2 linked regions of the Drosophila melanogaster genome follow. The protein of the gene in region 1 purifies or fractionates together with the protein of each later gene. This does not show direct contact. Each region holds a gene or a part of one and is shown on either strand. Other genes may lie near its edges.

Region 1 (4,886 bases):
GAAACGCAGCAAGCATGAGGAGGAGCCACCTGTGCCTTACACGCAACCTCCACATTTAATTAATGCATCTCCGCCAGATGTGGCTACAAACAACGAAGATTCCTTTGGTCCCGCTTTACCGCCGCATTTAAGGAAGACCCAGCAGCCGGAACTCCCTGAGCAAAGCCAACCAGCCCCACAACCGCAGGCCATGATAGGACCCGTCCTGCCCAGCAATTTGACCCGGGAAAAGTCTCCTACTAAGGAAGCGGAAGCTGAGGACGATGATGACCTAGCTGGCACCTTTGGTCCTCTGCCAAATGCCAGTCAAGTGGCTCTGGAGGAACGTGCTTTGGCACTTAAACTGGCAGCTCTGGAGGGCGGGGGATTGGGTACATCTACAGACCAAGATGTCCGCGAAGAGTGGATGCTTGAGCTGCCAGATGTGGGACTGAAGAGCGGCCTTGCCGCCCTGAGCAATATGAAGCGCACTTTCTATCAGGGAAAAGAGCGACCCGACTTTAGCGATCGATCATCCTGGACGAAGACCCCGCAGAGTGAAGCGGATGCTGCTGCATCGGGCCCAAAGTCGCTCAGTTCGAAGGAACTCGAGCAAATGGCACAGGTCAAGTACGAACAGCAGCGGGATGACGAGCAGGAGAGCATGGCCAAGAGGCACAAAAAGAAGCACAAGCGAGAGGAGTCCCTAGTGGAGCTACATCAAAAAAAGCTTAGGAAAGAGCAGAGAGAAAAGGTACGAGGAAAAATATTTCTTAAAAACATAATATGGATATAATATTGTTATAAATTTAAGGAAAAAGAACTGGCTGCATCGGGTTCCAAGCCAGAACGAAGACCTTTTAGTAGGGATGTGGACTTGAAACTTAACAAGATCGACAAGAATCAGACCAAGCAGATTGTAGACAAGGCCAAGATATTGAACACCAAGTTCTCCAGGGGTCAAGCTAAGTATCTGTAGGTTAAATGAACCATAAAAAATCCAGACGATCCGTACCGCATGTTAATCTTAAGCAATTATGTAATTTAATTTAGAAATAATTATTATAAAGGCAAAATAATTTGTAAATGACATTTTTGATTGCTTAGTCACCTAGCTTAAACTTTCGTTTAATTGGCATAAATACATTGGTAATATGAGTACAAACACACAATTGGGCAATACCAGCTAATGATGAATGATTATGAAGCTCTTCTAACGCTGAGGCGGTGGTTTCGGTTTCGGAATCTTGGACAGCAGCATCTGAATCTCGTCCTTTTCCTTCCAGTCCTTCCACAACTCGTACAGATTTACAATGGCGCGCACGATCTCCTGGACCTTGTCTAAATCAACATTCAATTCTGCGAACCACTGCTTCGTGGCGTCCTTTTGCAGGATGACGCAGGCGATTTGAAGGCAGGCTATAGCGATCTAGAAAAAAATAGGTTCTTCAAATGTGAGGAAGCTGTAGAAATTATCAGGATCACAAACCTGGTAAGGAGGATAGAGCAGGCAGACATCGGTGCGCAGGGAATCGTTTACGATACGCCAGCTCAGGGTGAGCAACTGGTCCTCCTGGCCCATGTCCTGAACCAGCTGCAGCAGCGGTCTGTACGGCTGGTAGACAATCAAGCAGCAATCCAGGTTCTCCAGCAGGTAAAACTCGCACTCCAGGATGTGATTGGTGCGGTAGGGAAACTCCTGAGCGTACGCATAGCTGAACTTTGTCTTAATGGCCGACTGGCAGATCGAGATCAGTCGTGAATTGGAAATGACACCGAACTCCTCCACCTTCGAGGCCAGCAAGATGCAAGTGGGCGCCAGCAGCAGAGGATCGATGTTCTTCAGGGAGTTCCTCGCATAGAATCTCTTGAAGTAAACCGTCGCCGTGGCGATGACCTGTTGCCTCAGCTTTAGCTGCTCGCCGAGCACCTGGATCACATTTGCGAAGAAAATAAACACCTTTTGGTATTCATCCTCGTTAAGGGCCAACAAATCGTGCTGACGCTCCCGGAGCAGATCGGGTTTGTCCAAAATCCACTGCTGCGAGTGCGAACTCTGCCAAAAATTGCCCGCCATTTCGTAACTAGTAGGCCTAGCTGATTAGGTCGGCCAATATTTTCGTGTTAGCTATCCAAATTAGGTGTTTATTTCAATAGCAAGCCGGAAAACCAGGAAAAACGAAAAAATTGTGTTGCCGTTTCAGCCAGTGTGTGCACACCAGGGCTATTTTCCACGAACAGCTGACTGGCCGCAGCCAACTTTGCGCAGCGCAGTACATTGGTGTGTGTGTGTGAATTTTTCATCAGCGCCGCGGCCACAGACGAAAAAGTCTTAAATATTTTTTAGTAATAGGCTATTGAACGAATTAATAAAACGATGGCGTTGCGAGTTCTTGGCGTGACGCAGAATATGCGCTCCTTCATGCGGGGCGTTGACATGATCAAAGTAAGTCCAGACAGCCATCCAATGATTACGCTTCCGAGGATTTAAATTACGTAATTGTAAATGATTGTGTTTTTGGTTGCAATTGTGGTTTATTCTTGTGAGAAAAGGGATAAACAACCTCTTGTTGGTCAGTTATTCAAGAGCCATCCAGTTTTTCAAACAAATATTTGGGAAAACTGTTTGGAAAACCCACTACAAGCACTTTGAGGTTATGTTCGTGTTTTACTTAACTCTGGGCTATAGTTTTCCCAATTTTCCCGAACTTACAGCGATACAAGTCGGCTGCCACCCTACAGAAGACTCTGCTGAACATACCCGCCACCCAGGTGACCAAGCTGGACAACGGTCTCCGCGTGGCTAGCGAGGATTCCGGTGCCTCTACCGCCACCGTGGGACTGTGGATCGATGCTGGGTCGCGCTCCGAGAACGAGAAGAACAACGGAGTGGCCCACTTCCTGGAGCACATGGCCTTCAAGGTTGGCTCACTAGCTTGATGCTTTAAATGCGTATAATATGCGTTTCTGCCACTTTTTAGGGTACCGCCAAGCGCTCGCAAACGGATTTGGAGCTGGAGGTTGAGAACCTGGGCGCCCACTTGAACGCCTACACTTCCAGGGAGCAGACCGTCTTCTACGCCAAGTGTTTGTCCAAGGATGTGCCCAAAGCCGTCGAGATCCTGGCCGACATCATCCAGAACTCCAAGCTGGGTGAGGCTGAGATCGCCCGCGAGCGTTCGGTGATTCTGCGCGAGATGCAGGAGGTGGAGAGCAACCTGCAGGAGGTGGTCTTCGATCACCTTCACGCCACCGCCTATCAGGGCACTCCTCTGGGCCAGACCATCCTGGGACCCACCAAGAACATTCAGTACGTATATTCAGCTCTTATAACAAATGCTCTGTCTCTAATTAAAATCTTCATTTATTTAGGTCCATTGGCAAGGCCGATCTGACCGACTACATCCAGACCCACTACAAGGCTTCGCGCATCGTTCTGGCCGCTGCTGGCGGCGTCAAGCACGATGATCTGGTCAAGCTTGCCTGCAGCAGCTTGGGTGGCCTGGAGGCCAGTGTGCTGCCCGCGGAGGTGACTCCCTGCCGCTTCACCGGCTCCGAGGTGCGTGTGCGCGACGATTCCCTGCCCCTGGCCCATGTCGCCATCGCCGTCGAAGGCTGCGGCTGGACCGACCAGGACAACATCCCCCTGATGGTGGCCAACACCTTGGTGGGTGCTTGGGATCGTTCCCAAGGCGGTGGCGCCAACAACGCCTCCAACCTGGCCCGTGCCAGCGCTGAGGACAGTAAGTGTACATCAGTAAGACGACCAGGATATGGAGATTATTAACTATTATTGCCCTACAGACCTTTGCCACAGCTTCCAATCGTTCAACACATGCTACAAGGACACCGGACTCTGGGGCATTTACTTCGTGTGCGACCCTCTGCAGTGCGAGGTAAGAAGAATTAATGATTCAACAGAAAACTCTCGAGAGAAAGCAAATTTTACGTAAACAAACCTCTTCCCCAGGATATGCTCTTCAACGTGCAGACCGAGTGGATGCGTCTGTGCACCATGGTTACCGAGGCTGAGGTCGAGCGCGCCAAGAACCTTCTGAAGACCAACATGCTGCTGCAGCTCGACGGCACCACACCCATCTGCGAGGACATTGGCCGCCAGATCCTGTGCTACAACCGCCGCATCCCGCTGCACGAGCTGGAGCAGCGCATCGATGCCGTGAGTGTGGGCAATGTGCGCGACGTCGCAATGAAGTACATCTACGATCGGTGCCCAGCCGTCGCTGCCGTGGGTCCCGTTGAGAACCTGCCCGACTACAACAGAATCCGCTCCTCCATGTACTGGTTGAGGGTTTAAGAGGTTCCGCCCCGCTGTTGTTGGACATTGTAGTTTAATTCAAAAGAAAATTTCACCCCCAGAGGATCAGTAAACCGATAATACTAAAAGTTATATAAGTTTCTCAGGCCTTTATTGGTGTGAATAGTTAATGGGTATACCACTGAGTCCCTGCTGCAACTTGGCGGGCTCCGTCTGTCCAAGGGCAGGATCCAATCCCTGCCAGGTGCGATCCTCGAAGGAGAGCCCGGTATCCGTCGTCATGAGAGCCATTTTGGCTTGTGTAGCCAGAGCAAGCGAGGCGGGATCTCCACCTGTTTCCAGGGAATCGTTGACCGCTCCTCGTAGCCTTCCACTCACCAAGCTGACGTCGTTCTCTGGTATATCTGCCGCATCAAAAGGCAAGAAGCTGCGTCCTTCCGGCAGAAGTTGTTTGAAATCCGTAACATAAGCTTCGGGGTATCTCATGTGCCAGGCGGGATTCAAGGCCATCTCTGCCTCGAAGACAGAGACAATGGGCTTATAGTACTCTTTGGAGTCGTACATATTATTGAACGGGCAACCGATCAGGACAAAACAATCGATTTCCAGGAAGTTAGCGAGTTTGGCTGGG
Region 2 (3,414 bases), on another chromosome or scaffold:
TGCATGAAGAGTATAAATGAAAGAATAATGAAAATAATGACTTACACATAACAAAATAAAAATAGCAGTGGGAGATAGTTTTGTTATGAAATTAAGTAACTAAACAAAAAACAAGTAGTTCATAATTACACGTTAAAACTTTTTTATTCATAGTTGATGGCATCACTTAATGAAAACAATATCAATAAAAATAAACTAAAATAAAAAAGAAGCCCACTCAGTAAACTCATATTACTTTACTCAATACAAATACTTCAATGTATTATAAATATATACATACGTACAGACACATTTGCAGCGCAAATGCATTGCATAAGCGCTGGCAATGGAAAACATGGGCAAATGGTTCCACCTTTTAAATTTCGAAAATTCGATATCGGAATATCGAAAAAAACTGGCACCAGAATGTCAAAGAATAGTCAGTAGGGTCTGTTATGTTTTGGGGATGCGTAGCCTTCACTGTCTTGGGAGATTTGGTTCCTGTTGATGGACACATGAATCAAATAAAATATTTAGATGTCCTTAATAATAATGATGATGAATTGATTGGAGAGTCCTTCATACTCCAGCATGATAATGCTCCCTGTTATAAGACCAAACTGATTACTGTTTCTGAAAAATGTTTGCATAAAAACATTGGATTGGCCACCTCAAATTCCAGCCCTCAACTTAATAGAATACCCTTGGTTTAGTATTAAAACAAAGGCGTGCAAATACTTATGCCCACTAGTGTAGTATTACCTACCCAATTTCGCTTCTAAAAGGTTCTGATCACCAAAAGGCACAAAACACGTATAAAACTCGATAAAGAGATTTGTTTATTTATGTTCTTATTTTTAAGCACTGCCCTTCCCTTTAATGGAATTGACTTTAATGGTATTTACTTAAGCTTTGTAAAAAGACTGTGCGAAACGCAATGATCTAACTCAGCAACATAGTCAAATAATTCTTCGATGCAAGTCTCAGTTGTTTTGGATCGCCCATTAACACGATCATTGCACTCTTGGTACTTATTGTACAAGGATTCTATGTGACCTTTAGCTTGACATTTTTCCTGTTGCATAAAAATCAGTTTAGTGTTATATTAAATGATGTAAAGAAATCTTTTTTACCCTTAAAACTGCTTGAGGGTCAACTAAGTCCTCTTCGTCATCAGCTCTGACGGCGGGAAGCGAAAACCAGTTCCTAAAAGCCATTATTAATGCTAAAAAGAGAATAAACTAGTCAGAATTCAAAAACATATATAGTACCAAATTTTATGAATATGAACGTAAATTACATTTTTGAAAAATAACTATAACCTTTAAGACCGCTATGATGCAATCACAATGTATTTTATGTATGCCTGAATTATGAGGGCCAGACCAACAAAAACAGATTATTTTATGCATATATATCAATTAGCTAAGCTTATAGCCTAGCCCCAATAGAATACATCTTTATGAACCGTTTGCAATTTTACCTAGATGTTAAAATCTGTTCACACAAGGTACAATCAAAGCAATTAAAATAATTTTTGGCCAGTTGTCCGCCGTGACGGGGGTCAGATAATTTTTTTTAGGCTATAAACTTTTATTTAAAACTTTTCATAATTTTTTCCTGATTCCCTTGATACATGTTTTTGGAGGCAAACATTTAAAAATGACGTGGTGTTTTTAAAACGAAATTCAATCAGCTAAAAGCTGATAAAAAAAGTGGATAAAATATCTACTGAAAATTAATAATTACTAATTCGTTGTGGGCCAGAGTTGTCTTCTCTGTCTTTTTGGTTCTTTTTGCTCTAGTTTTTAAACAATAACTAATTAAAAGCAATCAAATAAATATATGCTTAAGTGATAGAAAGTTTTCATAAAACTGATGCGAAAACTTCTTTATTGATATATACAACTATGCGTGTTCTCTATAAAATTACACACACAAATAAAATTTGTATTGAATAGTTGTTGTAATTTGTATTTGAATAGGAACCATAGTGTGGTAAAAAGCAGAATAAAAAGACCTAAAATATTTGAAACTAACCTTAATTTTTTTATTAGTATGCGCGAGTACCTTCTTCAACCCGTGGACCATCCGCTCGCATACGCCTCCTGCCCGGCATTGAAATTTTCATTCCATTTAATTTGATGACAGTTCGTTCTACATCTTCTCCGTTTTGACTCCTCAATCTGGCCACCGGTCCACGGCAGCTTATAAAATTCCTCAGTGCGACTGTCGACAATTCCTGGGCCATCTTTAGACCCCGACTGCTGCTTCCCTGAAGTACACACACTTCCGACAGGAACGTGTACTGCAAGAAACCTTGAAGCAGCTCCTAATCCCGGGACTTGGCTGCGTCATTATAGATTACGTAGATTATACGTATTTTGGTAGGTTCATTTGGATTTTCGACACCGAAGTGTGGCAGACACTGTCACTGTCACTGTACGTATCATCTTGACATAGCCATTTTCAATTTCTCTGTATGCTGTCAATGTTGATGACCCTCATATTATAGCTGCCTGTCAGCCTCACCTCGTAATTCTTCCATAGCAGACCAGTTAAGGATTGTAAGCCCACAGTAAACTAAATTCCATCAATCCTACAGAACCGCGCCATATGTCCCTTTTCTAAGCACAGAAAATAGATTCGATGCTTCTTTGCAAAGTTTATTCGAGACATTAGAGACGCATGAGTAAACAAAGACACTAGAATAATTTTAAAAAATGAGGAAAACCTAAAATGGTTCAAAAGTGTGTTTTGGGCGTTTTGTTTGTGTTTGCGTGACCAAAGTGTCTTTGGTATGCCGATTAAAATGCCGGAAGACAAACAATAAAACGAAGAAGAATCAAACATTTTTCAATGGTAAGGTCGGTTTTGGGCGGTTTGTTCACGCTAGAGTGGGCATGGCAAAACTTTTTTTTTTGCAAAATCGATAAAAGACTAATATTAATACGAAATAATATAAAAACATTTTTAAAAAGTGTGGGCGAGGCAGTTTTTGGCGGTTTGTGGGCGTGGCAAAAAGTTTTTAGGAATACCGTTAGAAATTTACAAAACTAATACTGTTTAACTAATAAGCTCTTCTATTAGCTATTTGCAAAGAAAAGACGATTTCTATGCAGCGATCTCGAACGATAATTTATTTTTTTATCAATTGCACGGGTCCCACGGCCACACCTCCCGCCCAACCGACCGAGTGGCGCTGTCGTGTATTGTTTATGCATAAATTACTAAAGAATATGATGAATAATTGGAGAGCGACTTATTTGCAGAGGAAACAGCAGAACTCCAAGTCAAAGGTGTAGGTGCGACCAAAGACACTAGAATTGCATGTGGTATTGACTTGACCGACGCACAGCAGTTCGTAGAAGAGACTAGCGCCAATCATTAAGTCTATGGGTAGAAAACGATGACACTTTGGGTCCGCGAGCGTCA

Evidence for each region.
Region 2: the proteins of UQCR-C1 (region 1) and UQCR-11 fractionate together in Drosophila melanogaster (co-fractionation; one study listed by BioGRID). This does not show direct contact.

Annotation. Positions count from the first base shown.
Region 1 is NT_033777.3:14,888,002-14,892,887, forward strand, and holds UQCR-C1 (Ubiquinol-cytochrome c reductase core protein 1), read left to right. Parts: upstream 1-2,229; 5' UTR 2,230-2,356; coding exon 2,357-2,425; intron 2,426-2,694; coding exon 2,695-2,901; intron 2,902-2,960; coding exon 2,961-3,289; intron 3,290-3,351; coding exon 3,352-3,722; intron 3,723-3,783; coding exon 3,784-3,875; intron 3,876-3,949; coding exon 3,950-4,294; 3' UTR 4,295-4,386; downstream 4,387-4,886. Other genes in the region: CG33332 (uncharacterized protein), read left to right, coding at 1-733, 794-958; CycC (cyclin C), read right to left, coding at 1,193-1,408, 1,469-2,056; Dph2 (diphthamide biosynthesis 2), read right to left, coding at 4,406-4,886.
Region 2 is NT_037436.4:25,118,684-25,122,097, reverse strand, and holds UQCR-11 (Ubiquinol-cytochrome c reductase 11 kDa subunit), read right to left. Parts: upstream 1,350-3,414; 5' UTR 1,280-1,349; intron 1,221-1,279; 5' UTR 1,197-1,220; coding exon 1,113-1,196; intron 1,055-1,112; coding exon 881-1,054; 3' UTR 727-880; downstream 1-726.